Lepisosteus oculatus: one gene and its partner. The protein of the gene in region 2 purifies or fractionates together with the protein of the main gene of each other region. This does not show direct contact. Links are inferred from orthologs where the notes say so. Each region holds a gene or a part of one and is shown on either strand. Other genes may lie near its edges. The genes, in order: ift122 and wdr19.

Region 1 (16,976 bases), on a different chromosome or scaffold from region 2:
ACAGTAACATTTTTCTACTCACTTATTACTCATACTATTTATTATTATACTATACCAAATATCATAAGAATTATTTCACAAATTACAAAATATTTAAAAACCTAGCAGGAAAATATCAAAATATTTTATGGAACACAAGCACCTATTTTTTTTTTTTAACAGACTTAGAAGAGGTCAATTTTTATGCTGATTAATCTTTGTTATCAAATGAGTTAATTAACAGGGGTCTAATGTGAAAGGCAGTAGCAGCGTGTGGCCAACAGCTGGAAGCAATACAAGATGAACATCAATGGCACATAGTTTACACCAGATTGCAGTTGTTTTCTTGTGGGATTCTGTCTCATACAGCCTGGAAAAGCATGTGCTTCTTCACTGGTCTCTGGGCCCTAGATACCACACATCGTCCTATTTATGTTCAATGGGCCTCAGGTCTGGTACACAGGGCATTTACAGCACAAATGTCATACTCTCTTTTGAAAGAAAATCATTGTTAGACAACCAGCATGAGAACATGCATTGTCCACCTAGATTAATGTGCAATGTCTTCATGTTTTCCTGTCAGTACCTGATGACACAAGGTCAGGGTGGTCTACATAAACAGTAGTCCACACATAAAGAGAGTGACAAGTTTCTTTTAATGTTCAATACATATTCAGAAACATTAAACATCACAATTTAGGTGAGCCTTATCACACTAATAAGGGGAACCTATTCTTCTTTCTTGCTAAAAAAGTGATTTGGTGAGGGTAATATGAGCCAATGTTCCTGTTAAAGCATACTACATGTTGCTACTTAAATTTTAATTGAATGCTTACCTGTTTGCCACTTAGCTGATAAAAAGACAACTTCTGGCCCCAGTCTGCCACTGCCAAGATGTCATTGTGCTCATCTCTGTGACAAGAAAAACATGTTTGTCATCCACCGCATGGACTATTCTTGATTATGTGACCTTAAATACAAAACCCCCATCAAAATATAGCCCAAACTCTTTTACTGGTCAAAAGAGACAACTCATAAAATAAAAATCCCAATTGATGACAAAGAATGTTTCAAGTTATGCTCTATGTCAGTTCCTTATTCCTTTTTATGATTCTCATTATTCTCATTAGTGGCATTAGCATGGAATAGAAACTGGGGCTCTGGACGTCAGACTAGAGGAAGAACACTTCAAAACCTGGGGCAGACACTGCTGTTCACAATGTACTATCCTTGAGAATAGGTTATGACATGGTCACCACCTAGAAAGCAAATCACCCACATGTGACATACCTCTGCTGTGGAGCATGCCAGCTACCATCTATTCTTCTCTGACAAATGAAGCATAGTGTTTGCATAAACACGAACTCAAAGAACCATCACTTTGTGCCGTCTACATGCATTTCCTGATGCCTTTGTACTGCGTGTCTTGCACAGCACAAAACCTGAATGCGAAAATCTGTATACAATACAGACAGGTGCGGCATGACCTAAATGGAGCTGTGCCCTCAAACACGACAGAAATGAAGCAGCTCTCTAAGAAAAAATGGACCAGAATCCCCCCCCCCCACAGATGTGAGAGACTAATCAACAAATCAACAGGAAAAATTATTAAGTTAAGTTATATATATAAGTTATAAGTTATATTATATATATATAAGTTATCGAATCAAGAAGTCCACTTACTTTTTCACAAAAAGATATTAAAGTCTGGCTATTTTTTTAAAATAAAGCCAAAGTAGAATTTCTGTGCTTTATTTGTCAAATGAGTTTAGTTTGATCTACTAGGTAATGACTAGGTAAAGGTCAAATACAGTAACTCTAAACATGTTAAACCATAAACTCTTAAGGGGGTGTTCTTGCTTTTTAACTACATTGTATATATATACTTAATAATTGAAAATATCAATATCAACCAATTATACTACCATTTAAAAGATTTAAAGTTTTAAAACGATCTTCCCCTACCTCAAATGCTATCACTTACAGATCAGTATTGTCAACATGTTCCTGAAGCAAATGGCCCTCCAGATCCTCTCTCTCTTCTTCTAGCTGGGACTCCTCTGCCTCACTGCCCTGACTCGAACTTGTTTCAGCCCACAGGTAAGAAGGTGCACAAACACTGCCCTCCGTCAGTGGCTCCTCTTCCCCATGTTCAGGGCATCTCTTCCAGACAGTCCTCCACCTACTGCAAGCACTGGCTACATGTGGGGGCTTTCTACACCTCTACTTCTACACCTGAAATCACTGCCATATGAAGCTACCTTTTTTAATTTGTTCCCAAAGCAAGAATATGACATGCAGTTGACTGAAGGTTTACTTGACAGGATATGGTAGAATACGGAAATTCTGTATTTATACAGAATTAATACATGTACGTAAATCCAGTTTCAAGGCACCGATTCAATAATATCTATCATGAAATTGGAAATACCTCTGATTTTTCCACTTTCCTATTATACTTGTTGATAGCCGACACTAATTTTTGTCACTTTGTAATTACACAGAATATGGAATTGTTTTCCTTTTTACCCATTAAACACAAAATCATACAAACTTCATGACAACATCTAGTCATAAAGTAACGATGAAGCTTACATCAACATTTTAAGACAATGACAAAAAGATCAATACATACCGTTTCCGTTCCTCATATGTAAAAGTTTTTAAACCATTATTTTTATGTCATTATTTAACAAACTTGTATTCCTTACATCAAAATGAGAAAACATGTTTTGCCATGTTCAAATTCAACAATACATCAACATTAACTTTTGATTGTAGAATTATAGGATAGAATGTTTTGATTCCATGTGCTCAGTCTTTATATGTTCCCTGTTCTTCATTTTCGAGTTATCACAAGCTAACCAGGATTTTTTACTTTTGCTGTTACATACTTGGATGGGTTCCAGGCAATGGACCAGATGGGTGACAGGGTACCTCCAGGACGTTCTATCTTCACCTTCTCTTCCCCATTTTTATTGCGGATACTTACTACTCCATTCACCATCCCCAAAGCAAGGTACTGACCATCATTGGTCCACCTGCAATCAAATTTACACAAGGTTTTCTCACGCAACAATATGATAAATTATTTTTTGTGTCTGAAGAGTCCACGTATACAGGAAGACTGGATGGATAGATCACAGGTGTGAGATAACGTTTTCAAAATCAAAAGAACTGGTAACTCTTAAGGCTCATCCTATGTCCAATAATATTAAACTCTTTTTTACAACTTTGCAACACTTTATGCAATAACAACTAAACTAATATGATGAAAACCACAACTGCTAAGATATACAATGGGACAGATAATTCTTGCTCACAAAACACACACAGCAATGGTTGCTTAGACAATTAAATTAGTATTTATAACTTACCCACAACATGTGATTTTATTGCTGACTTTGTGTTTGGAGACAGATTTTTGTTCTGGAGACCACAAACCTAAATAGGTAATACAATATAGTATTCATGTTAATGTTTACTCAACTTTCTACAAAAATACCACTGTTTTATCAAATCAATACTCCACATAATATATTATTGTTTTCCATAGTCAGTAAAGAAGCTGCTGTAGTTATCAAACTGTCAATGATAAGCATCTGTGTTTTAAGTACGGAGAGATCACTAATGATTACCGGAATTATTTCCCTAAGGTTATACTAACACAAACATATCTTAACAAAACAACTCACCAAAATCACTGGACGAACAGGAGGCCAGCTGATGTGTAACTGGATTATATGAAACGCACTGGATGGAGTCATTGTGGCTATTTAAAAAACAAAACAAATTGTCAAATTGTTACAACCTATGATTTTAAAATGATAAAATAGGTTATCAATTCAGTATAACAATCAAATATTAATCAGGTCTTGGTACTAGGATGCTATACAAGTAAATTTTAAAGATCAGTAATTTTACCTAATTAAATCTGGGATTATCAAGCATTCCACAGCACCTATTCTCTGGCATATCCTCATAAAAGAATAGAAATTGGGCCCAAATTTACACAATTTATTTTCTAACAAATAACAGAACTATACAACACACAAGATTGCACAGCATACAATGTTTTTACTATGAATGGATATTTACATGTCTGCAAGCTCCAGAGCTCTGCCTTATATAGGCACAGAAAATCAAATAATTTTATCCTTAACAGGCCAAAAAGAAAGAACCTGCATTTTAAACGAAAGGGATTCTAACCAGCACTAAATCGCCCTCTCTAAACAGATGCTCACAGTTCGATGAGCCAATTTTCCTATTCTAAAATCAGTAAAATACAAAAGACAGTTTAAGACTGAGGATTGCACAATATATGAAACAACAATTTTCTTGAACAAGTAAAACAACAAACCACCTAAATAATATGGCTCAGAATCTGCTGCTCTTTCTGGATTAAAATTACCTGGACTACACCTGATTTCAAGTCTAATTTGAAAGACGCACTCTCTCCCAGCACAAGCTTCTCATGATGATAATGATGTCTCTTCCTCTTCCTCTCCTTACTAACCCTTCCTTTACATTCCTGTATTCATACTATTGCCCATTCCTATGGAGGCTGGATTAATGACCTCACTAGGAATGGCCAGATCACCACCCATGCTAAACCCTTGTAAAACCCAGTTGAGAACTCTAAATGGTATTATTAAATAATTCCTTAAAGTTGACTGAAGAGCCCATTGTACACAGGAATTCATAAGACAAGAAATTTCATAAAAGGTCATTTATTTGGCTTTTTGTGTCACGATTGTTACTTCTCAAAAGTAAAATTATTACATCAACAAGTGTAAAGGTGCAGATAAAAAAACAAATTCAGGAGGACTTTAAAATGTTTTACTTACGTATACTTCAATATTCCCTCCAGCTTAGAAGTCCAAATGATGATACTTTTGTCAGCTGAACCTGAAGCAAAACGCTTCCCTGGAAAAAAAATATATTGTTATTTTGTCAAGCTACTACACCTTATTGTGTATATGTAAGATACTTATTTAGTATGGGAAGAGCATATATACAGTAACATTTTTTTCAAAGCAGGCTTTAAAAACTGACCATCTTTGGCATAGGCAACACAGTATACTGTGTCTTTGTGCCCCTTTAGAGGCTGGATAAGTGTTCCATCAGCTGTGTCATAAACCTAAAACACAAGACAAAATAATTAATTTCCACAAAGAACATTCCACAGTTGCCTGAGATTTAAAAAAAAATCAGAAAAATAAACTCAAGGTGCTGAAAGTGTAAAACGTTAAAAATACGAAGGCATAGTATTTCTTCGAAATATGTCTTCGAAAAATGCTATATTCGTATAAGAGTATTTAAATAATATATATATATATCTTTACACAAAATACATCACAACTTCCAAAAGCACGTACCAAAACTCGATTTCCAGCAGCAACTATAAGTTGACTCCCATCTGGCTTGAACGCAAGGTCGTAAATACTGTTTAGGGGAAGAATGATTTATAGTTACAATAATGCACTATTGCTTCGTGATACTACTATAGCTATAGTTGTATACTTTTTAAATTAGTTTATGATAGAACTCCTTGTGGGATGTTTCATAACACAATCACCATACATATTTGAGTCTTTCTACATAATGTCAAAAGAAGGACAAAAAACTCAATGAAACGTAACAATGTCATCTGTCCGTTTGATAAATTGTTCCTCAGTTTGGGAAAGCGATTGATTTGGTCATATTTTATTACTGTAAGTGGGAAAAAAATCAAGTGAAAAGCAATGATTTTAAAAATATGATCAGCGAAACCTGCACAGTGTACAGTATTTATCTTTGAATGCATGTTATGTGTCAGCTCAGGGTATAAACAATCACAATTGTTATTGCAATTTAAACAATCACAACAATTTAAACATTTAAATAAATACACACGTTCATTCGATCAGATGCAAGAGTAATTGAGTGCTTAGTATGGTAACTGGCTAAAAATAAGCCATATGCCTAGGATGAACTGAAAGCAAATAAACACGACGACTTTAAATGACTCAATATTTTATAATGACAAAGTTCCAAAAACAACGTAGTTGTTTAATATTTTTACCATATGTTAAAGTGACACATTTTTCCTCACACAGTTTACATTGGCAACCATGGTTGCTATCGACAGCCAACGGTGTTAGCAACAGGCCTACAGATGCCGCTAAGCGACCATACGTGGTTAAAAACGTCTCCTTCTTACCATTGCTCTACTTTATCCCGATCATGCACTTTATCTATCCATGTCGGTACGGCTCTCATCGTGGTTCTGTTTTAGCAAGAGCTGCTCTACACTTTCCTTCCTCAAAGCAAACTAACAATGTAGAGAACCCACTTCTTTCCGCAATCACACTGTTTACATCTCGGAGTCACACTGGGCATGCGCACACTGCATGTAGCTTGCTGAGCGGTCTGCGCATGTGCGACAGGAGAAGTATACAGGAAAGTGTCAAGCATCACGGTTTTATTCCAAAGCAGAGTTATTGTAATTCCATCTTTTTAATTCTAATACGTCGAGCGGTAGCATTTTAACGATGGAACACTGATCTAAATCAGCATGACTGTGTGTTAGTTTTTACGTTTACGGATTCAGTTTATGCATGAATTTGAGTTACCGCGTTTACGGATGGATGATCTTAATAGCAGAACTACTGTCAGGTAAGAAAGCAAAACAGCTAAGTGATCTAAAAGCTGTATTAGTCCAGTTATTTTAATGATATATACTGTTAGTCAGAGTTTAATTGTTTGCTTATATTGTACCTATGCTTTTCTTATCTATGGCCATTATAATTTAACATAAGCAGAACACATTTTCAGTACATTTTCTATATTCGTAAAAACGTTTTGTATATATTTTATTTTTGGTTGACATGCTATGAAATGCATGTGTATTAATTTTAAAGGCAGGTTTCGTGACTAAATAGCTAATTGTGGTACTATATACCGTATGTTACAGGGATTTATAGTATTGCACGGGGTTATCCTAGTCTCATAGACAACATTTTTGTAACTAGACATTTTGGAAACTTGTGTGTTTTGTTTCCAAACCTAGTGAAACTGCTACCACAGAAGCAATAGCGTGTGAAGAGCCCTCTTTGTCAGATGAGGACCAGCAAGAGAAAGCTGCACCAAAGCAGAGTCCCAGCCCCGACTCGTGTATGGAGACCTGCTGCTGTCTCGGAGTCCCGCCAGGCTGGGTTAAAATGGTGAAACAGAGGCGATCTGGAAAAACGGCAGGGAAAGTAGACGTATATATCATCAGGTACTGGGTTATAAATATAGTACAAGTGTCTATATGATCCCAAATACATCTTCCCCATTTTAGATAAGCACAAGGGCATTTGAAAATGAACAATTATGATTGGTCAATAACATCCTCTAAAAAATGTTTTTACAAATGTTTATAAAGTAATTATATCTACATCAATGCTCAAACCTGTGTTAAAAAGAGGCACAACACTTCAGGTTCTATTTTCTTGTTGCTGTACATAGATGTTGTTACTCATGTTTATTGCAGTCTGCATGTCTGAGAGAATGGTCCCTATGCATTACCATATAGAAAAACAAGCTTTTAAAAATACATTTGTACAGTTGTTTTTGTAACTGTTAGTCAGATCTGAGAACAATATATATATATATGAGACGTATTTTGTTTTGAACCAAAGGAATTAACACTTGGTGTACTCAGTCCACAGGGAGGGAAATTCAGATCAAGAGCTTCACTCCATGTCTACCTTCAGAATAACAAAGAACTCTGTCTCAAGGGTGCAGATTTTGATTTCTCTGTACCTGGGAAGGACAAACAGTTAACAAAACCTCAGAGGACAAAAAAGAAGAAAGCTCTCCAACTTTCAGAAACCGTCTTGGACAGCACAACTGACATTAAGATTACAGCCGAAGAGGAACACTTGTCACCCAGCAGTGTGTCAGAAGAGCTGTCTGGACATGATGCTGCCACTGACGGGGTCTTTTCTGCGCCTTGTGCTGAGAAATCCAAGTCTTCAGAATCTGAAAGCACAAGTTGCAGAGCCAGGGCTAAACGTCGGCACTCACTGACAAAGCTCACTCCCGCAGGACCACAGAGAGGACAGAAACAGAGGAAGGATCCCAGCAGTAGGGTTAGAAAAGCCGGTGCTGAAAGAGCAGTGGGCAAACGGGGAAATAAACTGACTCCGGGCAGTGAAATGGAAGAAGGGCAAAGTCAACGCCACACTGGAGACCAAAAAGAGACTCAAGGGGGGCTTTTAAAAGACAAGCTTCTCAGACTGGCACAGGAATGTGAGGTAAATGACGTAAACGCACTGACTGTGAGCGGTGAAAGAGGAGAAAATCAAATTGCAAACCACACTGGAGATCAAAAAGAGACTGAAAAGGGACTTTTAAAGGATAAGCTTCTCAGACTGACCCAGATAAGTGAAGCGGATAAAGGAGCAGAGCTCGCACTTTCCCCAGAAGGTGAAAATGAGTCGGGAGAAGTGGTGTGTGACCAGCCTGAGGCCTCTGCCCCAGGGAAAAGTGCCTTACAGCCTGTGTCTAAGAACGCTGCAGAGACACAGCAAGCTGTTGTCGGACCTGAAACTGAGTCTGCGCTAGAAGATGGTGATTCACTTCCTCCGGGGGACTCGGGGACATTTACATCAGTGAAACAGCAGCAAAGCAGTAAGCATAAAGTTAAATCTTTGAGTATAGCTCTTAACGTTCTGGGGAACATTGAGGGGTTTCTCCAAACCGAATAGGAATCGTGGCCTGATATGTTTTGCAATGAAAATAGACAGTATATTCAGTTACAAAAGGAGAAGGCTTAAGAAAACCTTAGATAGAAACATTGAAATATTGTCCAAGTCCATCAATGAATCTGGTACTGTTTTGTTTACCTTCAGGTTGTGGCATAAAAATGCTGTCAGAGAAAAGAAAAACAAGCCAGTACTTCACTGGAAAATTAGCCAGAGAAGGTAAGGAAACATCATTTTCAACTTTTACCAGGAACAAAAAGGACAACTCTCCCAAATGAAACATGTTCACTTTATTTTTCTTAGCTCCAAGTCCACCCAGACGCAAGGCCTTTAAGAAATGGACTCCGCCTCGCTCTCCTTTTGCCTTGGTACAGGAGACTCTTTTCCATGATCCCTGGAAGCTTCTGATAGCCACCATTTTCCTCAATAGAACCAGCGGTAAGAGTTGTGGCTTCAAACAGAACAGGACAATGAGACAATTCCCTTCACAGAGAGCTAACCTAAAATACTAGGTTCGGATGTGGGGCGCGGTTCAGTTCTGTCTTTCTGTCAGTTGAAAGTAAAGAGACTCTTTCTTTTAGGTAAGATGGCAATCCCTGTGCTGTGGGAGTTCTTTGGGCGTTACCCGTCTCCTGAGGTGGCCCGTGTCAGCGACTGGAAAGAAATGGCTGAACTGCTGAAACCTCTGGGCCTCAATGAACTCAGAGCCAAAACAATTGTGAGGTTTTCAGGTGAGTGATACAATGTTTTAAACCAAAAAAGAAGCAATTATGTATTTCTCACTATACTGTAGCTACAGTATGTTAAGCAATTTGTGTGTCACAGTGATTTCTTCAACAAGTCCTAGGTGTGAGTTGTATGCGTGTGTGTGTTGGTGCCTATCTGCCCTGTGGTGGGGTGGCATCCCATCCAGGGTGTACCCTGCCTTGTGCCTGTTGCTTGCCAGGGTAAGCTCTTTCTGTGCTGGTACTTTGAACTAGAAGAACCGGTTAGAAAACAGATGTAAGGATGGATTTCTTCACCATAGTCCTGAACTACATAAAACTGAATGTTCATAATATTCTGATTATGTTGAGGATTATTTTTCCATGTTTTTCTTTTCATCAGTGTAATCATACGATTTGCAGAAGTAAGTATGTTGTATTTGGAGTGTAGTGCACTAAGCTCACTTTGTGATAAGATAAAACACTTTATTGGCCATATGCAATTTCTTGTATTAGGAATTTGTATTTTCGCATACCCCAACTTCCTTAGCCACAGACACACCACACCACCCCTGTCATAATTGGGTGATAGGGAGTTTCTGCTTATTATCCACAGACTATGGATAACAACCACTGTATGTTGTGGTTAACAAAGGATGTAATAATGACGCTTATCTAATTTCACCCTGCCCATCACAATCAGTCATAGTCAAAATGATTTTATAATCAGCCCTCCATCTACTGTACATTGTGTATTAGAAAACCAATGTGAAATTTTCACTTTTCAGCAGACACACAAGGTAAAAAGAGCACAGTATAAGTCTCTGATGATACTTGAAAGAGTTCTCTCCAGTTTTGTGTGTGACCTCATTTTGATCCTGTTCTCTACTGGCACCAATGTGACCGACTGGGGTTTTGCACCTGCTTAGATAGCAGACTCTTGTAGGAGAACAAACCTTTGCTCTCGTAAAGCCTTTGAACTCTGTACAGGTGCGAAAGGCTTACATTTCAGATTCTTGCCATTGCAGATGAATACTTAACAAAACACTGGAAGTACCCCATCGAGCTCCATGGTATAGGAAAGTATGGCAACGACTCCTACAGGATATTCTGTGTCAATGAATGGAAACAGGTGAGTTGGGGGCAGCTGGACTCATTGATTAAGAACTCTATCCAGTGTAATCACAAAAATGGATGACAGAGTTATCCAGACATGATACGGGCCCTGTTTTTTTATGGACACATAAGCAGGATTGGAAAAATGTGACGGTAACTGTCGATTTTTTATCCATGTTTATCTTCTTAGGTTGATCCCCAAGATCACAAGCTGAACTTGTATCATGCATGGCTCCGGGAAAACCACGAGCACCTGGGTATCTGATTCCGAGACGAAGCTTGGAATCTCGGAAAAGTGGTTCAGGGAGAATAATGTTGAATTATTGCTGTTGCATTTTACCACTCTGTCATTCAAAAAATGTACTGGACTGCAACCATGTGATAAAACACAGGTCTTCACGTTTTTAGTTATGTCAGCTTTTGACTGGTTTTATATTGTCAGGTTGTATGCGTGTGCTTTTTTGTGTGTTTATGCTAGAAACTATTAAGATACATATCATTGCTTAAAAATTGAAGTTTGTATCTGCTTACATATAATCTGTAATTAAAATATTCTTTAACGCAAAACATATTTTTAGAGATAATAATAAAAAAGCTTGTGTTTTGTACTTTTCTGTTTTTTTTGGTGTTGTTTTTTCTAAAACGTCTTAATCTCTCTCTGAAGTAGCAGCTCTGTATTCTCCCACTTGATTATTTAAATGAAGTCGGTTCTTCAAATGTCCTGTAGTTGTACACTAGAAAAAAAGATAATAGTATTATCTACTTAGAATAGTATTCTAAGTTTCCTTAATTCACATCTCCAATGTATCACCTTTTATACTAATTTATTTGTACTAAATTATTGTACCCATTAATCTATTAATAAATTCAGTCTTGGACTGATTTGTAATTGATTTCATTGTGGCAACATAGGATATTTAATGATAAATAATAACATTTTCAGTTATATTTTAACACATGTAAGCTACATAGCTGCATTTGAAAAAAGGTCAGCACACATATTCTAATTTAATAAATGCAAGAGTAGTTGTCACGTACTATCGGGTCATGATTTAGTGCTGAATTAATTACCTGCTCACCTAACCAAAGACATATTTGGGAAGTTTGTAACAGAGATTAACTGTTGACTTTAGTAAAGCTGGTGTATATGAAAATGTTTTCAACATAATATTATAGTCATTTACTTGAAAAGGGACGCTATTATTTCTGCACTGCTTGCACGTTCCGAAACACCCACGGCTAATCGTTATCTGGTTGCATAGTTTTAGAAAAAGCTAAAACTCACTGGATTAATGTTTGAATTTTCACATAACAAGTAAAAACAGATATACTAGTATAACGGATGGTCATACGTTACATGTACAGCCTACAGTTCCCAGAAAACCTCGCTGCGCCAACGCACACAACAGTTGACAAATTGGAAAAGCGAACGGCGACGGTCTTGCAATCGCGCAGACGCCGAAGGAACGTAATTATTTTAAACCCTGAACGTCCAAATTTTTCCGGTTTTGAACTTCGGGTTTGTTTGAATAGGTGGTTTAATTGGAAGCAGTTTGTTTTGAGCGAATGCAAATCCCAACAGATCATTCACAAAACTCCGAAATTATTTAGTTTTTGTGCTATTCTCACATCCATCGTATATACGGACGTTTTACTGTTTTATTTTAGAAATTGAATAACTCAGGGCGGAGATCAACACAATGTCGGCCGCTAATGTAAGTGAAGTATTTAATTTACCTAGACTTGTGCGTTTAAGGCACGAAAATGTAAGACACGGTGAATAGAAACTGAAAATCGAATAATGATTGGATTAAGTTATGATACTGATGCTCATATTTCCTTGCGTCGAAAACATTTTGATCTTTTTTGAAGGTGCTGTTACCTTTAAACCATAATTTTAACCCTTGAAAAAAAACCGATGAAAATGTTTTTCATCGTTTACAAGTAACACGGTTACATGTATGGCACTTATTTAATTTTCTTCTGCAAAATGCGCTGTTTGTAAACTTTCCCATTTAGCTATCAGAGCTGTACCAGGCAGTAATGGGAGAGAGTTGTGGAATTCACTAAACAAACTATAAAGCACATCTTAAAACCACAAGGTACACTTTTAATAATAATTACACTTAAATAGTGAGGTATGGTCTTTGGAGAATGAAGGAGGTATATAGGGATGGGGTTAGAGACTTTTTTTCATACATGTTTTAAAAGGTATCCAGTAAGTCTATCAAAGTGTGAGGTTCAATCTTAGAGTAGATTGGCTAAAAAATGTTTTTTTAATGGTTGTGCACTTAAATAGCCCACTTCACATGCTCTTAACATACTGTATTACGGACACACATTACACTTACAAATTCCGTGCTATAGAAATGACCTAATAAGCATGCTGCCTCTTGTTAGCGAAGGTGAATGTGGGCTTAAATGTTTTATTTTTATGATTTATTTCAGCAGCCTTCCCAAGGACAGAGGAAGGACCAGCATGTGAAAGTGACAAGCCATAGAAACGCTGGATTCCTCGAGCGCTTGAGCCAGACAAGCGGAGGAATGCTGATTGGCATCGGGCTGTTTGCCCTGTCTTTTTATGTACTCTTCACTAACGAGGTACCAGAAATCAAGCTAATCGTCAGCAGCATGAGCTGCTGGGGCAACCACATTTAAAGGAACAGACCCTTTGACACTTGCGTTTCATGTAGTAGAAATGCTATTGTCTTTTCATTTTAAGATGGCTTAACATACACATTTATAATGTGCAAGATCTAGTCCATTCTTGTACACCCTGCCCTAGCTAACACGGCTCTAAAGGTTTTCATTGGTGATGACTGAGAAGATTAATTCCTTGCTGTATTTCAGGCACAGTCTAATATATTTGAAATAACAAAAGCCTTTTGAGTCTGTCAGCTGGGATTCTCCCTGCATTCTAACTTACAGTAATTTAACTGGTTTTAACTGCTTTGCGAAAAATAAAAAGTGCAGCTAACTGTACATTGAAGGTGCCCAGTAAGAGTATATTGTCTCTCTGCTCAGGGAAGGGCTCTGAAGACGGCAGCTTCCCTAGATGAGGGCCTGTCTCTGGTGGTGCCTCTGGACAATATTCATAGTGTTGACCCTCAGAACAATGGAAAGCTGGTGCACCTGTCTGGGCCCCTGCGGACACCTCAGGTACTGTAGGCAGCATAGCTGTCAGGCCCCTCCTGCTAGGAGGAAAACTTTGAATTAAAAGAAACACTGTTTAATCATTAATGATAATTATAATAATTGCTTGCACTTATATAGCGCTTTTCAGGACACTCCACTCAAAGCGCTTTACATGTAATGGGGACTCTCCTCCACTACCACTAATGTGCAGCATCCACCTGGATGAAGCGACGGCAGCCATAGTGCACCAGAACGCTTACCACACATCAGCTATCAGTGGGGAAGAGAACAGAGCCAATTCATAGATGGGGATTATTAGGAGGACATAATTGGTCCAGGAGGGAATTTGGCCTGAATACTGGGGTTACACCCCTACTTTGTTTGAGAAATGCCCTGGGATTTTTAATGACAAGAGAAAGTCAAGACCTTGGTTTTACATCTCATCCGAAGGACAGTGTCTTTTTACAGTATAATGTCCCCGTCACTATACTGGGGCATTAGGACCCACACAGACTGCAGGTGGACCCATTAACACCTCTACCAGCAGCAACTTTAGTTTTCCCTGGGAGGTCTCCCATACAGGTACTGACCAGGCTCACACCTACTTAGCTTCAGTGGGCTGCCAGTTTTGAGTTGCAGGGTGATATGGCAGCAAGAATGTCAAGTTTTATTGGACTACATGTAAGAGAAAGAGTGGTAAGATTTAAAAATACAGTGTATCCAGGTAAGTGTGGCACAAAGGTAGCCTTTTGACCAAAATAAGCACCGACTGAGACTATTGCACATTGTACCATTGTGAGTACTGGACTCAAACTCCACCTAGGACCCACATTCATGTACTGTACCTGTATGTTGCCTGTCTAAGTGCTGTTAAGTCCTGAGAATGAAACGTGTGACTTGTTGCAGCCTTTGAACGACCCTAACTACAGAATCAGCGTCCATGCAGCCAAGCTGAAGCGGGAGGTTGAAATGTACCAGTGGGTGGAGTACCAAGAGAGCCGGTGAGAGGCTGAAGGCACAACTCTAGCACCACACTGTTGTCAGGACGCTGTGTCAACAGCACAGCCTGTCATAGTGCAACACGGGAGAACAGTGGAGAGTACCCCATGATCACTTTGCCAACGTATCATAATACACCCACCCACAGCTTAACGTCATTATACAGTGCGAATATCAGTGCTTTCTTTTTATGAATTAAATGTTTGTAAAAGATCTGAGTATAATTTGGCCAGTTTCATCAGAATATTTTTCCTTCACTCCCTGTGTCTGTGTGGTGCCTCCAGGTGCTTCATTTTTCTTCCTGCTCATAAAGAAATAACAAGCTAGGTTAACAGATCTCTCTATCTTTGTTGCACATCTTTGGGTGGATGTGTCCTACAGTGAGCTGGCGTGCTGTCCAGGGTGTAGTCCCAGTTTGCACCCTGGGCTTCTGGGATTGGTGTCTCGTCATTGTGACTCCTACCTGGAATAATCAACCTTCTGTAAAGGGATTTTCCCCTCCACAACCCTGTCCATTCAAGGCTAACCTCCAAAGTTTCGGGGATATACCTTAGCAAACCTTAAAAATGCACATGAAATCAGAATTTTCTGTACATTCACAAATACATGATCAAATTAAAAAATGTTCTCAAGTAAGTGACCCATTTTTAATAATGTTCTGCAAAACAAATTTCATAGTCTCCGAATACCACGGCTCAATGTACCACATGCTGTATTTCAGTGTCTGATAGAGGTATGGATACTGTATGTGAAACTGAAAATAGTGTTTCTCACTGTCTTGCAGAAGTTGTTTGCTTAGTTATTCACATGCCGAGTTCTAACTGAAGTTTGAACGGGCATTTTCTTTTTTATTATTGATCAGTTTCTTCTTTTAAACAAGCATCTTTAACAAGTCAAGCCTGTAACAGTTTAAAACAATCATATATAGTATAGTTGATTAGTAGTACTATTTAAAGAAAGCAGAATAATTACACTTCACAAATGCTGCATTAGCTGGTAATCTGTTTCATCCTTTTCCCCCAAGGGACTATGAAGAAAATGGCGAACGGAAGACTGAAACAACATATACGTACAGTGAGTACTGTCAGTGTGAACCACTGTTTTTCAGTTAGATGGGGCTTCAGTGTTCAGACTGCACAATAAAGCTTTAGATCTTTACACACTGCAGTTAGGTTTGTAAGCTTTCCACAACTTTACAAGTAAAGTGAATTCAAGTAGGCACAATTAAAACACTCCTTTTCACTGTCGCCTGGCAGAGACTGAACTGTAATGACATGCTGATTTTTAAAAAAGGATTAATGGTAGAGCAACATACTGGTTACCAATCTATTCCATAGCTGCCTTAATACATCATTTTTTTTGTCACAAATCATCACACTAAATCACATAATAAGATTTAAATGTTATTTGGCCATATTTGCTCCTCTATCATTTCAGGCTGGAGACTGAAAGTTTTTCTAGCTGCAATCATAATAGCGTGACTTCTGAGAAATTCCCTACGCGCATAGACCTGCCCAAATGTAGAGTCACTTTGACATGCTGAAGTGTTTGACATAGTGCTGCCTGGAGGTGTAGCATGTCCCATATTGACATCACCGCTAGCCAGAAAGACCCTGGCTGACTAACTTCACTTCTGCCCCACTACGGGAATCTGCCGACTGTGTGCCACCTCCACTTGGGATGTCTCAGTCACAGTCAGCTAGTAACTAGACCCAGGCTTAACTAGCTAGTCTGGGCACTAGGGCTCAGTCTTTCTTCTGAGAGTTCCTTGGCTGCCCCATCGCTGCCCTCTGGTCAGATGAAGAAAGCAATTAAAAGCTTGTAAAAGCACTTTAAAAGTTGACTGTTTCACCATTTCAAAGGTTAGTATGTCTAAGCATGTTGTCATCAAAGCAAAAACTCAATTGTTTGTTATCTACGTGCATGTACAAATACTGTACTTTACTTGGTCAACCTGACTGGATTGGAGCACTGCTACAGAATGTTAAGCTGCTGTGACATTTTCCATGAAAAATGTATTGGCAATGTTTCAATCCTTGAAGTGCTTACTTCGAGTGTTTGCTTCACTGTGTTTGACTGGTTTCTCTTTCACTTTGTAGATACGGAGTGGAAGTCTGAGGTGATCAACAGCAGGAATTTTGATAAAGAGATAGGTCATATCAACCCCAGGTAACACATGAAGATTATGCTCAACTTATGTTGGTGTGTTTGCCAGAATGGTATCTTGCAGTTTCTTCTGATCTCCCCCCTCTTAATACATGAGCCACATTTCTAAAATTATATAGAAGTGGGTTTGTAGGCCAACTGACGT
Region 2 (16,182 bases):
TAAGCCCAGTTGAGTCCCTGGTCACCTGGTTTCTGATTTCTCTATCCTGATTCCAGAGCAGCTATAGCTGTTTGTATCAGGGTGATCAAAATTGTGCACTGTTTTCTCGCTGAGGTCCTGCTGGTCCATTGTAAAATTTTAAAATCACTTGATTTAAATTCTGTACGTTTAACTAAATATACTATAATTGCCCTGTTTACATTAAATATTATCTATTAGCCATTAAATAAGATCTATTATTTATCTAGTCTGTTAACCAGCTGTCAACCCAAAGTGATACATCACTTTGAATGCCTGCCGTCTGCGAATTAATCTTTAATGAGAAAAACTATAAAAAGCTTTATGAAAATCGAAATTTATCAAATGTCTCTTTTTAAGCCCTTAATACTGTGGATTCAAAATGTCTAATTAGTTAAGCAGGAATATATATATATGTTTATAAACCGTACTGAATGTTCCATGGAAGAATTCTAAAGATTGATCCAATAGTTACAATAATAATAATAAAAAACTTTATTTTATATAGCGCCTTTAAAAGTGGCTTCTCAAAGCGCTTTACAGAATGACAACAACAATAAATTAAAAGAATACACAAGATAAAACACAATTACAATATACAGAGCAGACCGTGGATGGTGCTACTAAGAAAAGCAGAGGGGTGAAGAATGGAACCAGTTAAGTAAAGGCTCTTCTAAAGAAGGTTTTGAGTCTGGATTTGAAGGAGTTTAGAGAAGGTGACTCTCTGATATCCTTGGGGAGAGAGTTCCAGAGCTTTGGGGCTTAACAGGACAAGGCCCTGTCACCCATAGAATGTAGATGGGCTTGGGGGACAGATAGGAGACCAGAATTAGAGGAGCGAAGATTGCGAGGTGGGGAGTAGTAGTAGTTTGGTTATTATTCTCATTCCCATAACCTTACCTATGATATAATAAAGATATGGTGATCTATCAATCTTTGGTTAACCTTTTCGTTTCTTTACAGTACATACACAAGGTAAAATGCCATCAGGTCCTGGAGAGATGTTTAAGTACTTCTAATACAAAAAACCCCACTTCTACCACTTCTATACTAAAGCTATTTAATTTAGAATTTTGTTTTTGCTCAGCCAGTGGCACATTTTGTGTTACTATTTTGTGATAAACGACTAAGTGAACTAAAATATTTATTTAATATATCATGTTTCCCTTTCATCACCTAAATGTTTCCCCGTTTTTCTTTCCGAACATGAATATATTTTGCTGTGGTAATACTGAAAGTCTTTTATTTATTTTAGTCTGCTTAGCGACATTCTTTTTTTCCCTCTCGGTGAGGAATTTCTATATTTTTAAGATTCAGTTGTCTAGTTACGGCCCCTGTTCCTGTTCACTAAAGAATGAGACACGTGGACAGGCTTCTCTGACATTACCACCTGCAGAGCCCTTCAGAAATGTGACAGGTTGAAAGTTCTACACAGCATGTCAGGAGAATTAGCCTTGACCGAAGAAGCAGAGCATCTCTCACTGAAATCTCCCCGAGCCGACAGACACCCCCTAAGTAGCAGGAGTCTCTGTTGTCGACGAATTGCAACTCTCTTCATGGCTCCATTCTGCCAGTTTGGGGAATCCTAGTTCCTCTCACTGGTAACCAGTTACTAGGCCACAGAGCTCAATCTATTCTCTTAGCAGCTGCATTTAGTGGTTGAGTTTATCTGTGTGTTTAGCTGTGTGCTTGTGTTTATCTGAGTGGTTGGCTCATATCGGTCAATGTTCATTAAAAAAAAAAGGTGTCCTATTTAGAAGTTTCAGTTTTCATAAAGAGTTAGAGTAAAAGGTTTTCTGCCTGCAGGGGTGTAATGTATTCTGGCTGACAATCCCTGCTCAAGAAGAGACTTTCATATTTGAACAATGGAATATGTGTGTGTAAATGTAATTACATATTAAAATGTTAATTGCCACAAACCCACCATAGACATAGGCAGTCTTCCCACATTTGTATGTTGGAATAGTTTATATTTCTTTTACAAAACTCGTTTAATGTCTTTTCATTGTAACAATGTAGAGGACAGCATGAGAACATTTTATAGATATTGCTATAAACTGAGCAAGATTGAAGCATTTTTAATAAAGTCACAATGTCGAAAGCTGGTAGGGTGGTAAATGGGAAATGTCCTGTAAACTCTGTAGTATTGAATATTGAATTACTACATTCAGGATTATTGTACAGAAAAAAAGACAGGTCAAGGCCACCAAACTGAAAGGTGGCAATTCAGAAGGAATGTCATACTCAACACGGTGACACATACAGACAGGCTGTGCTTTTGAGTGAAAAGTTTAAATATCAGTTGACTGCCTAATAGAAAAAAGAAAAGTTCAGATGTCAATGCCTTGAATTCAATTTAAAAATAACAAAACAATGTATGTGTCATATGTTGTGTTATTTTGTGTCATATACTGTATATTTTTTTAATTGCTGTTCTAGTTTAAAGAAAATAACAGTGTCAGTCCTGAGTAAAATGCCTAGCAACACGTCTCCTCCAGATCACTTTGTGTCATTCATGGCCTCTCCTGGAGTTGTATGCTGTCTCTCTCTCTCTTTCTATGCAGACCAGAGCAAAGAGAGAAAGGAGTTCATTTGCCATATTTTAAATTGAGATTCATATTTGTGCCGTTCTTTTTGAACAAATAAGAATAAATAATGAAAGTACAACAAAGCACTATAGCATGCAACGGATAGTACAGAAGATTAAAAACACAGGACTCTTCATACTTGGTAGCCAAGTAAATAGCAGAGCATATGTGCTGCCCAGAAATCTCCCTTTTCTAAAACACATTCAACAAAACTGTCAGAGAACATGTTAATCACACACATGGAAAATGACATTTTTAACATGCAGGAACTGAAACTTTTTCATGAGGTGTGTGCCGGATGGTGTGGGCAGCTGGTTCACTGGGTTATTCCTTGTGATCTTTTGCAGGTTGCACCGTTGTGCCTTGGGAGGGCAGGAGCCTGTGTTGTGGCAGTGAAGTTATAACCCAGCGTCTCCTTCTCCCCAGACATCATTACAGTTCTTATTCTCTTTGTCAAAATCCGCGGCATTTTTTTTTTCTTCTGTCCCAAAGAACTACTTAAAAGGGATTCTACCAAGGAAGAATTTAATATCTATTTCCATTCTGCTGTGTATTGGAAACTTTGCTCATTTAACTGCGCTGTGTCAATCATTAGATAACAGCCCAGCATGATGTACAGCATGTAGCCTCTGTGGAGTTTTTTAATCAGCTGGGCTGAAACTCACAGTCTTTCTAAATTACAGTTTGGCCCTTGTCCAGTTTAATGTGCTGATTCCCAGTTTGATTTTGGATAGGGTTGATTGTACCACAGGGAACAGTATATGGAGAAAGGTTGGAGTCTGAGGCGTGTTATGCCATCGTCACAGACCTCACTGTGCTAGAAGATACTTCTGCTCCTGAAACGCATCGGAGGCTGGTGGGGGGAGGGGATGTTCCCTCTGTTACTGATCCAGACAAAAGACATTCTCACTTTAGAAAATGAAAAAAGAACCATGTATCATTTCTCTTCCTCCTGACAGGTTACAAATTGCATTTTTGGGGACATAGTGAGAAATTGGGATTTTACCGGAGCTGAATTTAATAGCACAGTGATTGAACTGCACATACTCCCATTTTCCCCTGGTGCTGTAATGGATGCATCTCACTGAGCATCAGTGTTCTTTCACCAATGACAGTACAGGCCTGAGACAGGCTGTCCTGCACACTGCTCAGGCAGCAGTGGAGGAAGAGCACAGGGTGTGTGTTGTTTGGTGATAGACATCCATTGCTATTTCTGAAGACATACAGGGTAATTAGACATCACTGTTTGTTTCTGTTCTTTAAGTCTCCTTACTAGACATTCCATTTTTTAAATATCTTTTTAAAAGTAGCCATCAAAGTAGGCAAACATCTGGGCTATTTTCAAAGGCCTTTCCTGCCATTCCAAGCTTATTGCCTGTTTTTGCACATAATAAAATGCTAAATTAAACTCCTGGTATTGCGGGATCAAAAAAAGTGGACTGCTCAAATTATCTGAGTGACTAAAGTGGCAGTTTAGTTCTTTATCGTATTGTCTTATGACTTTCACTCCGTATTTGAGCAAGACACAAAATTGTAGTTTTAGATAAGAGAACAATCGTCACATACAGTAAAAAATAATAGTGACCCACATTGAGACAGGGAGACTCTAACTTTGAGGACATTCAGCAGTACATCATTTCAAATTCATGAATGTATTTTTTCTCTTCTTAGTATTCACAGCACCACTGATCAGTTAAGTGGGATTTTGTTGCATGCACTTTTGAAGCGAATGGCGTAACGCAGACTGTAGCTCCATCTCAGTGCAGCCCTTTGACTTTAAAAACACATTTCCACTTCAGAGAAGGGATCTGGAGTCTCTACAAAGAAATTCAGAGCAGAGATCCGTAAGTCCACGTGTGAAAATGAAGCCTTGTGGATTCCTCCACCTGATACCTCCTGAGTTTTAGGAGGGAAAGCCTTCATTTCAAACTCTGGGGCGGGAGGGGGGAGGTGGTGGAAGAACAGGTGGTTGGAAAAGGTCTTGGTTGAATAAACACCCTGTTGCATTCTCTGATATTTTAATCAAAATTATTCAATGTTCCCATTCTCATGTTCTCCTTCTCAAAATTCCAGAAAAATCTATGTGATATTATATATGTATTGTACTGTATTATATAATTATTATAATCTATATAATATTTTCTGATTTTTTTTTTAGCCAAACAATAGAAACATTCCAACAGAACAGAGAGAAGGTTGTTTATAGGGTAACATCCTGAGCATGTGATGAGTGCTGGCCAGAGCTGGAACTTTGATAGTGGTCTTATAAAGTCTGTCCCCACTTGGTATAAAATGAAGTGTCTGTAATACAGTTTATAGATTGCTTGGACAAATAGGGCAATATTTTATGTTTTTAATTATTTGGAGATGTTTAAAGCTTGATTTGCTTTTATACTATACTGTATGTGCCTACATTTTTCTTCTCATTTCAATTGTATTTTCATTGTTACACGATGGGGGTGTGTTAATGGTCAAATTAAGAAGGTATTCCTCTGAATATTAATGTAATATAAACCAATATTATCTATATTGAATGGAAGATATCATATTATATGATAGTCCACATTGTGGGTGCACAGTTGGTAGACTTGCATTGGATCCATTCTGCATGGCTGGACTGAGGCTTTGACTGGATAAGTTCCACAGGTCAAAGTTGTACAGTACAGTAGTTCCAGTTCAATGCCTGGAAGAGGCAGCAGCAGTAGTTTTTGAACATGATCTGTTAAGAACAGTTTCTTGGGACAGGATATTAGCAGCAACCTAAACTGCCTTTAAAAAGCAGATACTGCAGATTTTACTTATCTTTAGGAAGTCTTAATACTTTCCTTTTTTTCCGTTCCTTCAAATGCAGATGCCATTTTTGGGGGGCTTTTCTTTACTGTTGATGTAGAGCTGTGGTGTTCTGTGGTTCAGTGGAAGGAAGGGGTGAAACTCCTGGGTTCTCATTCAAAAGAGTAGTACATTTCTGAAGGAAATTTCTTCTGCTCAACAACCTGAGACGACAATGGCGGACAAGGGGGACAGATGTTAGCAGATTTCAGTTCCCTGTTGCCCTTGGCATGAACGAGCCCCCACTGTAAACATTGCTCCACCCAGACTGCGATATAAGTAAACAGGATTCCTACATTCCTTCATTCAAACCTGTGAACTGCATTCCTGCTGGAAGTGTGCATGTCTGTTCTAGAATCCTTTGTGTCCATCTGTTGGGGGTGACAAACTGCTTTGAACCCGTGTTTTGACCTTCTGTTGCCTTAATGGAGAGTAGGATATTACAAATCACAGGGCACTGTCTTTGTCACCCCAGAGTTCCGACAGACAAGCATGAGCTTCCAGCTCCCCCATTCTGGTCCCAGGCCCTCCTGTGTGATGTTCTCACCCTGTGTGTGGTATTTAAGTGAAATGTTTTATATATTTGTTTTTCGAAAGGGAAAAATATTTATTTAAATATATGACTTTATTATTTAGCAACTTTGATTTTTTTTAAATAGTTTACTGCATGCCTTGTTTATTCTCCATTCAATCTGCTTTTCTGTGCACTTTTTTATATTAAAATATTGGAAGAAGAAACTGGTGTGTCCAGTGCATTTTTATTAACTGTGTTTCTGTTATTTTAACAGATTGGCTTGGTCTCTTTCCTTCATGTGAGCCATGTGTAACTGTATGAGGATATATCGGTGCCCGTCATGGTCCAGGAGAGTCCTTCAGGTTTTGAAAACTTAATCTACAGTATCACTGGCTAGAGATCATGTTAATCTTGGCTAATTAAGTACCCGAGTGGTTCCATTCAGTAGTATGAATCTTGAATTTGGAAAGAAAACCAGAAGATCCTGAAATTCTCCTGGACCAGGGCTTCAGCCCACAGATCTAGATCATAATCCTGAGATTTAAAATCCTTGTTTTAAGGATTAAGACATCATAATAATTCCTTACACTTATATAGCGCTTTTCTGGACACAAAGTGTCAAAGTGGACTTAAAATGCTTTACAGGTAATGGGGACTTCCCTCCTCCACCACCAATGTGCAGCCCCACCTGGATGATGTGACGGCAGCCATAGTGCGCCAGAACGCTCACCACACACTACCAGTGAGGAGGAGACTAGAAGGAAGAGGAAGCCTGTTAATAGATGGGGATTATTAGTTGGCCATAATTAATAAAGGCCAAGGAAAGATTTGGCCAGGACAACAGCTCTACTTTTTTTGAGGAACACCCTGGGGTTTTTAATGACCACAGAGAGTCAGGACCGGTCTTACATCTCAACTGAAGGACAGCGCCTGTTTATAGTATAGCATCCCCGTCACTATACTGGGGCATTAAGACCCACACAGACTGCAGGGTGAGCGCCCACCACTGGTCCCACTGACACCTCTTCCAGCAGCATCCTTTGCAGGGTGCTATAGCTGCTGGCTTTATGTTGGTTAGATGCTGGACATGTTGGTTATATTTGATTGACTGTGGCTTTTGCTATTTCTGTTCATGAAACAGAAAATTTTAAGCTTCTCCTTTATTGACCTTAATAAATCCTTCCTTCTTTATGCTGGACACGCACAGCGGTTTTGGACAAGCAGAACCTACAGGATCTATAGGTCTTTTCTCTGCCATCACCTGTAATAAGAGAAGACATTGTTTATAATTCAGTGTACACCAGAAAAGAGAATCACCTTGGCCACGGAAACCCAGGAACCTCTTCTCGAAATGTCAGTTACCATAAGGATTCAGACAATCACCCGGTTTTGAAAATGAATAGGGAAACATTTGGACAGGATGAGCCATGAAGCAGCAGCTTGTTGGCAACATGAAGTCTAAATTTAATGATGAAGAAACTTAATTTGGGGAGGCTGTTAAAAATGTAACATGGATTGAAGCACTGTTGTACTGTGTACAGATGCACTGTTTGTGCAGCGTGCAGTTAATTCATGGGTTAACTGCCACTATGCACCTGGAACAGTCCAGACACACCTGGGGAAGCTCAGATCCTCACTCTCTCTGGCAGATGACAAACTGTTTTATCTGGATCAGCTATGGTTTTATTTGCTGAACGGCACAGACTTCAATCAGTTGGTTTAACGGCTGTCAAAGGAAATCCTGTGAGTTGTTTGTTTCCTTCTCTCAGTAGGACATCTGAGGACATCACCATTCTTCATCTGATGGTGTGTGACAGGATTTAACATTATTTACAGATCAACGGATGGCATTGTAAGGATAATTGATGAAGTCCAGAAAATGTTTGTTTCCTAGCCTTTGTTTTTTCATGGAATACCAGCAGTTAAGCAACACATTTGAAGGGCAGGCTTGCACTGACATTATTAGTTATTAGTGATCAAAGAGTAAGCTCTCCTCCCTTCGGATGATTTATTCCCTAGGATTAAGGCTCTTGCTCTCGAATACCTCATGGTATTTTTTTCCCTGGCAGTTATTGTTGTGTGTCTACTTCCCCCAGACCTGCCAGTAAAACATCTGTGTTATAGCACCCTGCTCTCAGGTGTATCAAGGTGAACTTGAACTTGCCACAGGTACAGTATATGACCTCAAATTATTATCTATGAACCTTATAAGAGTCTCATTTTAGGAGACCATGTCATTGTTCTTTTTTTCTTGGTTTTGTGCGGCAGTTATTTCAGATGCTCAGCCTGACTGTTCAGAAACCTTCTGGAATCTTCTGTGAATTTGTCTGGGTTGTTACTGCCGGGACCTTCGGCCCCACACGGTGACTGACGTGATGGCTGGGGGGGTTAGCGATCCCTCGTGTAGGCAGGAACTTCAAGGGTCACTTGGAAATTTTCTCTCATTAGGATTTTGTGTAACGTTTCTCGTACTGCGAAAAACTGCCTGGGGGTCTTTATGTTTGACATGTCAGATAATATAATTTCTCCCATCCCCCGCTGCTGTCTGGACCCTCCTGGGACAGGTAGTGTACAGAGTGCAGTCCAATGAGGTTTCCTCTACAGAATAGTAAATACGTTCAGACTGAGGCCACCGCTGTGAAGCCCCACTGCGTCCAGAAAGCCCAGGGCTCTTTAATTTCTTCATGTGTGCCGAATGTGCTTGTCTGCAAAGGGGATTTTTTTTTCAATACAAAATTACGTTTCACGATGTGAAAAATCTTACGTTTAAAGAGATAATGTATTTTCCCGTACTGCACCGAGGTGAGTCAAACGAGACAAAAAATGCAAATAAATTACACGGCAACCAAAACCCTGTAGCTATTTAAATGCTAATGTCTAAATTATATATTTATGTAAATGTGGTATTTCTCTGCCTTATGCGTTTATACTTACATATAAATGCATATGTATCTCTATATATTGTACACAAAATTATATTTTATTTTGAAGTGAAGATATTTATTATTATCCCTTTAAAGCAAGATTGTAAAGGCAAGATATAGAGTATAGATGGGATAATTTAAGTGTTAGATTCTTTGCCTTTTTTGATAGTACTATCAATAATCAAAATATACAATATAAATAATCGACAACTTCAATCCAGGTTTGTTCTGAGTATGTAATATCAATGCGGTTTTGACAAATCCAGCTGTTACTAGTAACGAAGATATCAGGAAGAGGGCATCAGATGACTCTGCTACTTGGTACATGGTTCATCTTGACCGTGTAAATACATCTTTAGTCCCAGATTAATCACTTTTGGTTAACTTCAGCGGCACAGGTTGTATATTCCGGTGTATTCGAGCATTAGTTAATTAGCTGAGCACAGATAGGGCACAGATACTTGCTAAATTAGTCGGATGTGATCAAACCGGCAAAATGTAACGACTGTCATTTGATTCAGTAATCAATTCAGTTATAAAATCATTCAAGACTGTTTAATCCATCACCTGACAGAAGTTCTCTTGTACATGAATATGATAAGGAAGGACAATCAACTAACTGCACGGAGAGATGCTAAAATGCAAAATGGGGATTTAAAATTGTACTTGTTAGATTCTACCCGCGAAAGTGGGATTAACGGTTTTGTGTGTATGTCCTCTATCCTGTAATTGCATGGAATGTCGTTCCTCTGATCTGAACATTGTGAGTTTCATGCAACTGTTCAGCAGAAATCGCTACCTCTGGGCAGAGAGGAAACCATGCCAACGTGACCTGCCTGTCGATTGCTTCAATCTGCCCGGCCAGTCAATCTCACCAGAGCCGCTAGAGTTGATCGTATGTCCAGAATGTTGCCTTCATAATCAAAAACTAAGGATACAAATGCAAAGTATAAACTTTATGAACCTATACCAGACTGAACTACTGCATGTTTTTGTGATACCACGAAATATTTTTTTTTTACTTGTTAAACGTCAAAACCAAATAATACATTCGGGACGTTTTCTTCGCTGTGAACATAGCACAATGCGCCAGAGAAACGGAGAAATGCGATGCTTGCATAGCAGCAGTTCAATGAGCCCCGAGGAAAGGAAAGAGGAGTGCCTCCAGGCCTACAAGCGGCTCTTGGACTTCACGTCCCAGAATGCCTTGAGAGCCGCGATTTTGCGGTTGGTTTCGAGGTGATTTGATTGGTTGCGGCAGCGGGTCGCTATGGGTGACGCGGACGCTGTGGAGGGATGCATTCTGGGGCGAGCAAAAGCTGAAATGGTGAAGTTCTCTCCTGATGGCGAAAAATAAATTATGAAGGTATCAAAACATTATTTTATGACTGTAGTTTCTAATTCCGATCGCGATCATATGAAAAAGGCACGTGTTAAACAAAGTTACATATTTCTATTCTGTCGAAAAGACCGGCAGTTTCAATCGCCGTGCAAAATAACAATTTCATTGAAGCTCTTTGAAAGATTAATCTTTATTATGATTCTGTGCTTTTCACTTTAGACATCGATCTTATTAACGCTTTCCTGCTTTTCATTTTTGTTTATACATTTTAAGTTTACACACTTATTAAAATACATAATCATTGAATACTGTCATCAAAGAGGCAATTTATAGATTGCAGAAATAGTCGCTAATTATCGCCAAAACATGCACTGTATGAGATTTTCCCAGAGTGTTTACAGTTCATATCGTAAATGGATGTTTTCGTCGACGCTGGTTTTAAGATGTAAACATATAATAACGATTAGTAATCAATCTCAGTTGCAAGGGATAAGAATGGTGAAAATAAAAAAAAATGTTTCTCTGTTGTGAAGTCTTGAGTATAAAAGTATAGAGGCAACGACGATAAACTGAAAACGTATCTAACGCATAAATAGAAATAACAGAAATGCAAACCACTGAGTCTGAAACCTCTCTTTCGCTGCCAGAATGAGGAATATGATCATTGTAGTTACACAGCATCTTCGTCTTCTCCCCCAGCGAGTGTTCACCCTCTCCGACAGGGCCTGGCAGGGCTGCTGTCTGCAGTACAAGTGGCAGAGGACTCTGGGGAGTTATCTCGCTGTCGCTGGGTAGGTGGAAGAGCTCCTGACTTTTCACACTGATCAACAGGAGTTGGGCCAAGAGGACAGTGAGACACTGTGTGCGCAAACATTGACAGAAGAACAACATCCTGGCTCTCTCTCCATGTTAGAAGACGCGTTGTCTTTTTTTCAGTCTGCTAACAATAGGATGTTTTGTTCCTACACCGCGGTAATGTGTGTTTTTAAAAATGTGCTGAAAAGCGTGTGTTAAAAATGACTTTCTTTTTCTGAAGACCTGACCAAACCGTAAAAATCTTCGATCGTCATGGAGAGCAGAGGAATGAACTCAACCTTCCAGGGTTAGTATATGGCTACGTGTAGCTAATGTTAGGCTGTTTTCTAATCTTTGCTTTTTATTTGTTAATTGTTCATTTCACATTGCAATCCAATGTTTATCTCAGATTACAGTTGGACTAAGGGAGACCAGAGCTTTGAGAAAAATATATAAAATTGAATCAATAAAATTGAGTTACTATAGCCACACCTGCAGATAGACACACACTTTGTATGCAGACACCCCTTTAGTATGACACCATGGGTTAGACATTCACATATTCAGTGGGGAAATAATCTATTGATAAACCACCAAGCAGCCTATATCTAACTGATCTAAAAGAAAAACACTGCTGTCTATTTGAGTATTCTGATCTTCAGGTCAACCATTATTATGCTGTTAACATAGAGTTGGAAGTGAACACATTTGCAAATGGAAATCCTTCTTGCTAGCAGTCTTGGATACAGGCTCCTGGCCAAAGTGCTTTGTAGAGTACTCCCAGAACACCCTCCATACAAAGCACTGCTAGCTTCTTCCCTGGACCTCTCAATCCCTATTCTGTTGAGTGCCCAGAATTTGTGCATCCAGGTAATATTAACTGCTGGCTAGGTCACTCTAGATACGCATTTATATCTGATTTCTTTTTCCTTCCCTGTGGTTTTGTCAAACCTTTAAACCAGTATCTGTTGTTAAAACAAAAGCAGGGCACCACGCACACAGTGAGGCGTTTTTGTGTTAACACTGACTTTGTCACTGTTTAGTAAGTGTGTGGGAATGGACTGGGATAAAGATGGAGACATCCTGGCAGTGATTGCAGATAAGTCCAGCTCTGTCTATCTATGGGACGCCAACACCAACAAGATCAGCCAGCTGGACAGTGGCATGAGGTGGGTAGTGAGGATCTGAGAGCCCTGCTTGCAGCGCCAGTCTTTTGGATCATCGATTAACTGGATTTTTGTTTCCCATAGGAGCTGTTTTTCAGCTTGACTTTGCTAAGTATAGAGAATAAATGTGATGTGGTCAGACTGTCTTGAATATCGATTATAGTTTTTTTTGTTTGACTAACCCAGTAAGACCAAATCTGATTTGAATACAAGTCTTAAGGAATGGGAGGCTATTTTTGGATTCGTTTTCTTCTTATCCATCATATTTCAGTTCAAAGAGGTTATGATTTTAAACTATTTGATGAGGGCGCAACGGTGTCTAGATTTTAACAGATTATAACTCAATTTTTAAACCTTGTTTAACCAAAAGCTTTGATATCCTACCACAAAGAGGTACTGTATATCAGAATCACCATCAGTAGGCACACCAGGAGAATATTTCACTAATAATTAATCATTTCTTCATTCTCCACTCATTTTTCCAGGAAGTCATATTCTTACCAGCAAATGGGCTCAAATGTAAAGGGTATTTTGTGAAATCTTTGCCTGTGTACGACGAACTGTAGACTGACAGAGATGTAGAAACATAACTCTTTCTCTTTTTCATGGGAACCAGTGACACTTATTTAGCTAAGTTTAGATTAAGTATATGAAATAGATATTGTGGCCATCTACAGTGCCACAGGTGATGTTTAGGCTTGTAGTTCGGGAAGGCTTGGACTTTGTGGGACTAGGTTATGTGGAAACAGAATCAGATTAAGACTCCTTTCTTTTTTATGTATAAAATTTGCATTACATGGGGTGTTGTTACAGTGTGGAAGTATAAGGTCAATAGAACTCAGTCTTTGAAAAGAAGAGACTCCAACAAGCATAGAAGACTGCTGGTTCTTTTAGCAGAAAAGGTAACCTGTCACTATTTCCCAATGAAGGATGTGAATATATTTAATGAAAACAGTTCTTGTCTTGTTTGGGGGCGTAAAGACTAAAAATATCTAGGTTTTATTTGATCAACAGTCTTCATTAAAATGCATCTCATTGCTTCTGTGGTAGATGGTGCTTCAGACGTCTGTCTCTTCTGTGTTAACTACCTGTGATCCCTCTTGCCCACAGGGACCAGATGTCCTTCCTGCAGTGGTCAAAAGCAGGATGCTTACTGGCTGTGGGGACTGCCAAGGGGAACCTTCTCATTTACAACCAGCAGACCTCCCGCAAGATTCCAATCCTCGGTAACTGCATTTATCATTGGGCATTGCATTTTTGTCTAACGGTACTGTTGTGTTAGACTAGTTAAAATATTTTTCTTAATTTATTTGAATTTATGCTTTTCTGTTTTTTACCATTTAATCCTAAGTCTTTACTTTCTTACCATTCAGGGTATCAGTATGCAGTTTGCTAAATAAGGTCTTTCTATTGCATTACACAATTTTGATATGACATCTCTTTATTTTAATCAACATTTGACTTTATATCACAACAGTTTGCATCTTAATTGACTCCCAACATTGTCTACAAGATGTCGATGATGTGTTTACATAAACATAATCTAAGTCTTTTTCATAAGTAATAAGAATAAAATTAATGTAAAGACTATTATTAGAAGCAGTACTAAACTACCCTTCTTTTCTTCCCCAGTGCATGTTGAGCACGACTAATATTTCTGTATATTACTGTGTTCACTGAAAATTCAGGATTATATTCCTGCTGAAGATGATGTGATTCTTCAGCTGTTCATAGTGATGTTCCTGGCTCAGTGAATATGGAGCTAAAAAATGTCAACCCTTGTCGTTTTTGTTTAGGAAAGCACACAAAGAGGATTACCTGTGGCTGCTGGAGTTCTCAAAATCTGCTGGCTTTGGGGAGTGAAGACAAGACAGTAACTGTGAGCAACCACGAAGGAGACACTATAAGACAGGTGATCACTTTGTCTTCAGGGAGACAAGTGGCAAGTTCTCAGAATGAAGTGCCAGTGAGGGCACAGCTAGTATGTATACCAACATAAGAAGACAAAAAAATCTTAAATAAATTACAGACACCAACACAAAACATCTACAACTATTTTATCCAGACATTTAAAAAAGCTGTGAGCACCAGGGTCCTGTCTTTTACTGACATAGGGAAGCAGAAATCTACCCTGCAGCTAAGGTACAACTATCTTATAGGGTAAAGAGGGAACATTTTTTCTAGAATAAAACAGCTATATTCAGGGTTACAGTACTCTATAAAACATACTAAATTAATGGGAACTTTTTTCTCTATTCCAAATAATGTATCACTCAAGTTTCTCCAGTCTTTTCAATACCACAAATGGAAAATCAGTATTTCCAGTAATATAAGTCACCTGTCCCTGGTGTAAATCCTGGAGCCGGTCTCTTCAATGCTCAATATACCTAAAAGATTTGTAGTCTGGTTTATAGAAGAGGTACAGTACCTTCTCAAAATGTTTAATCTTCTTCTCTCTTTTAATCTCTTCTCTGTAGTTTGTCTTCCTATCTCTGCTCTGTTCCTTGTTTATATTCTTTCTGTCTGATTTCCATATTGATTTTTATACTGTCTTCTTATAGTAATTTAACGACCTCACTAAGAGTGATCTTGTGATCACTGTTAATAATGAGGAAAACAGCTTAGCCCCTTGGTCAAGCAACAAGATGAGATAAGGACAGCCAGGCAAATGCTCAAACATTGTCATTATCTTACCTTAAAGAATGGGGTGCTGTAAAATGTGAACTTTAAAGGTTTTCATACCCTTAACACATAACAGTACGATTATGCAAAATCAGGTTGTCAAATCTGGTCTTATATTACCCCTGTAGATTCACTCTCAAGGCCATTGCTATGGAAACACTTTAGTAATTTGTCATAAGGTTTTCAGTCAGTTACAAGGACCAACAGACTGATAGTATGAATTAAAGAAATATCCTTGAACATACATTTTATAGTGAGTGCTTTTTTGGGAACTGTTGTTGCTATGTTCCTTGCAGTTTCTGTATGTCTTTACAATGAATAGCATGAAGTGCATGCTTCTCTAAGGCCAAGAAATCTAAGAAATATATATCGACGTTTTGTTTCTAAGCAGTCATTTTAATAGTACGAATATGCAGTGAAGAATGTGGCAATGATCGCCTGTTCTTCAGCCCTATGTCCTGGCTTTCCCATTTCCAGACAACAGTCCGTGCAGAGCCTGCTGATATTCAGTTCTCTGTGATGAAGACAGATGAGCGAGCCAGCATGGGCGAGAGCACTGTGAGTTTCACCCTCTCTCAACACAAGCCACAGGCAGCTTCCAGGCAGTTATTCAGCAAACCTCTGATGTCTCCTAGACTCGCCTCTCCCTGGAAGTGTGAAGTTCATAGTGGCACATCTCATTGGCTTAACTGCTGGAGAAGTTCATTATCTGTCTGTATTTGTTCTCTTGGGCTGGCCTTGAAAGTCCTTAAGGTGGATTTTTTAAAAAAAATTCTGGTTAAAAGAGAGCCGATGATTGTGATGAGTTTTGTTTAGTGCTCGGTACATATTGAGACAGAAAGACAATGGTGCATTACAACATCCTTTATTCATTACATGTTGAACAGTGCCCTTTATGCATTTGTGTAGTTGTGTGTGTTAGTTATTCATCAGAGCTGTTGGCAGACAGTGTCTATTTTGTGAATCGGCGTATTAAATTATGTTCAGTTCACTCGAACTGCAGACTCCTGACCTCGACTGTCCCCGCCCAGTATTTTTGTTCACAGCACATAGCTGAATGTAACTTGATCATTGGGATTTTTGAAATTTAGGAAACAAAAAATGGGGCAGCTCAAACTCTCAGCCATGCTAATACCAATTGAGCAGGCAGGCACTTGGAAAAGATTTGTGAGATTCTGTCTGCGCTCAGGTGGGAAGGAACTGATTAGTTGTGGAATGATGTTCCAGCACAGGGCTATCAATCTCAGACTCCTGGGAGATCATCATGATCTTCTGGCTTCTGTTCCACTCTGCACTGTCTCTGGCAGAATGTTTGATTGACTGG

Evidence for each region.
Region 1: the proteins of wdr19 (region 2) and ift122 purify together in Homo sapiens (affinity purification with mass spectrometry; 4 studies listed by BioGRID and IntAct, counting the BioPlex papers as one, with this or other methods). This does not show direct contact. The link is inferred for Lepisosteus oculatus from reciprocal best matches to the Homo sapiens genes WDR19 and IFT122.

The regions. Positions count from the first base shown.
Region 1 is NC_090699.1:55,795,123-55,812,098, forward strand, and holds the start of ift122 (intraflagellar transport protein 122 homolog), read right to left. Parts: upstream 6,367-16,976; 5' UTR 6,241-6,366; coding exon 6,182-6,240; intron 5,763-6,181; exon of another isoform or gene 5,630-5,762; coding exon of another isoform or gene 5,622-5,629; intron 5,425-5,621; coding exon 5,358-5,424; intron 5,120-5,357; coding exon 5,035-5,119; intron 4,906-5,034; coding exon 4,827-4,905; intron 3,752-4,826; coding exon 3,675-3,751; intron 3,424-3,674; coding exon 3,357-3,423; intron 3,021-3,356; coding exon 2,874-3,020; intron 2,165-2,873; coding exon 1,964-2,164; intron 892-1,963; coding exon 816-891; intron 1-815. Other genes in the region: mbd4 (methyl-CpG-binding domain protein 4), read left to right, coding at 6,575-6,636, 7,031-7,240, 7,667-8,637, 8,859-8,930, 9,015-9,149, 9,293-9,442, 10,444-10,547, 10,722-10,796; transmembrane protein 43, read left to right, coding at 12,232-12,246, 12,980-13,132, 13,556-13,690, 14,573-14,667, 15,690-15,739, 16,765-16,834. UniProt on the Homo sapiens protein: As a component of the IFT complex A (IFT-A), a complex required for retrograde ciliary transport and entry into cilia of G protein-coupled receptors (GPCRs), it is required in ciliogenesis and ciliary protein trafficking.
Region 2 is NC_090696.1:68,457,080-68,473,261, reverse strand, and holds the start of wdr19 (WD repeat-containing protein 19), read left to right. Parts: upstream 1-10,132; 5' UTR 10,133-10,233; coding exon 10,234-10,239; intron 10,240-10,914; coding exon 10,915-11,006; intron 11,007-11,251; coding exon 11,252-11,317; intron 11,318-12,053; coding exon 12,054-12,179; intron 12,180-13,286; coding exon 13,287-13,402; intron 13,403-13,972; coding exon 13,973-14,088; intron 14,089-15,335; coding exon 15,336-15,416; intron 15,417-16,182. Other genes in the region: klhl5 (kelch-like protein 5), read left to right, coding at 2,954-3,010. UniProt on the Homo sapiens protein: As component of the IFT complex A (IFT-A), a complex required for retrograde ciliary transport and entry into cilia of G protein-coupled receptors (GPCRs), it is involved in cilia function and/or assembly.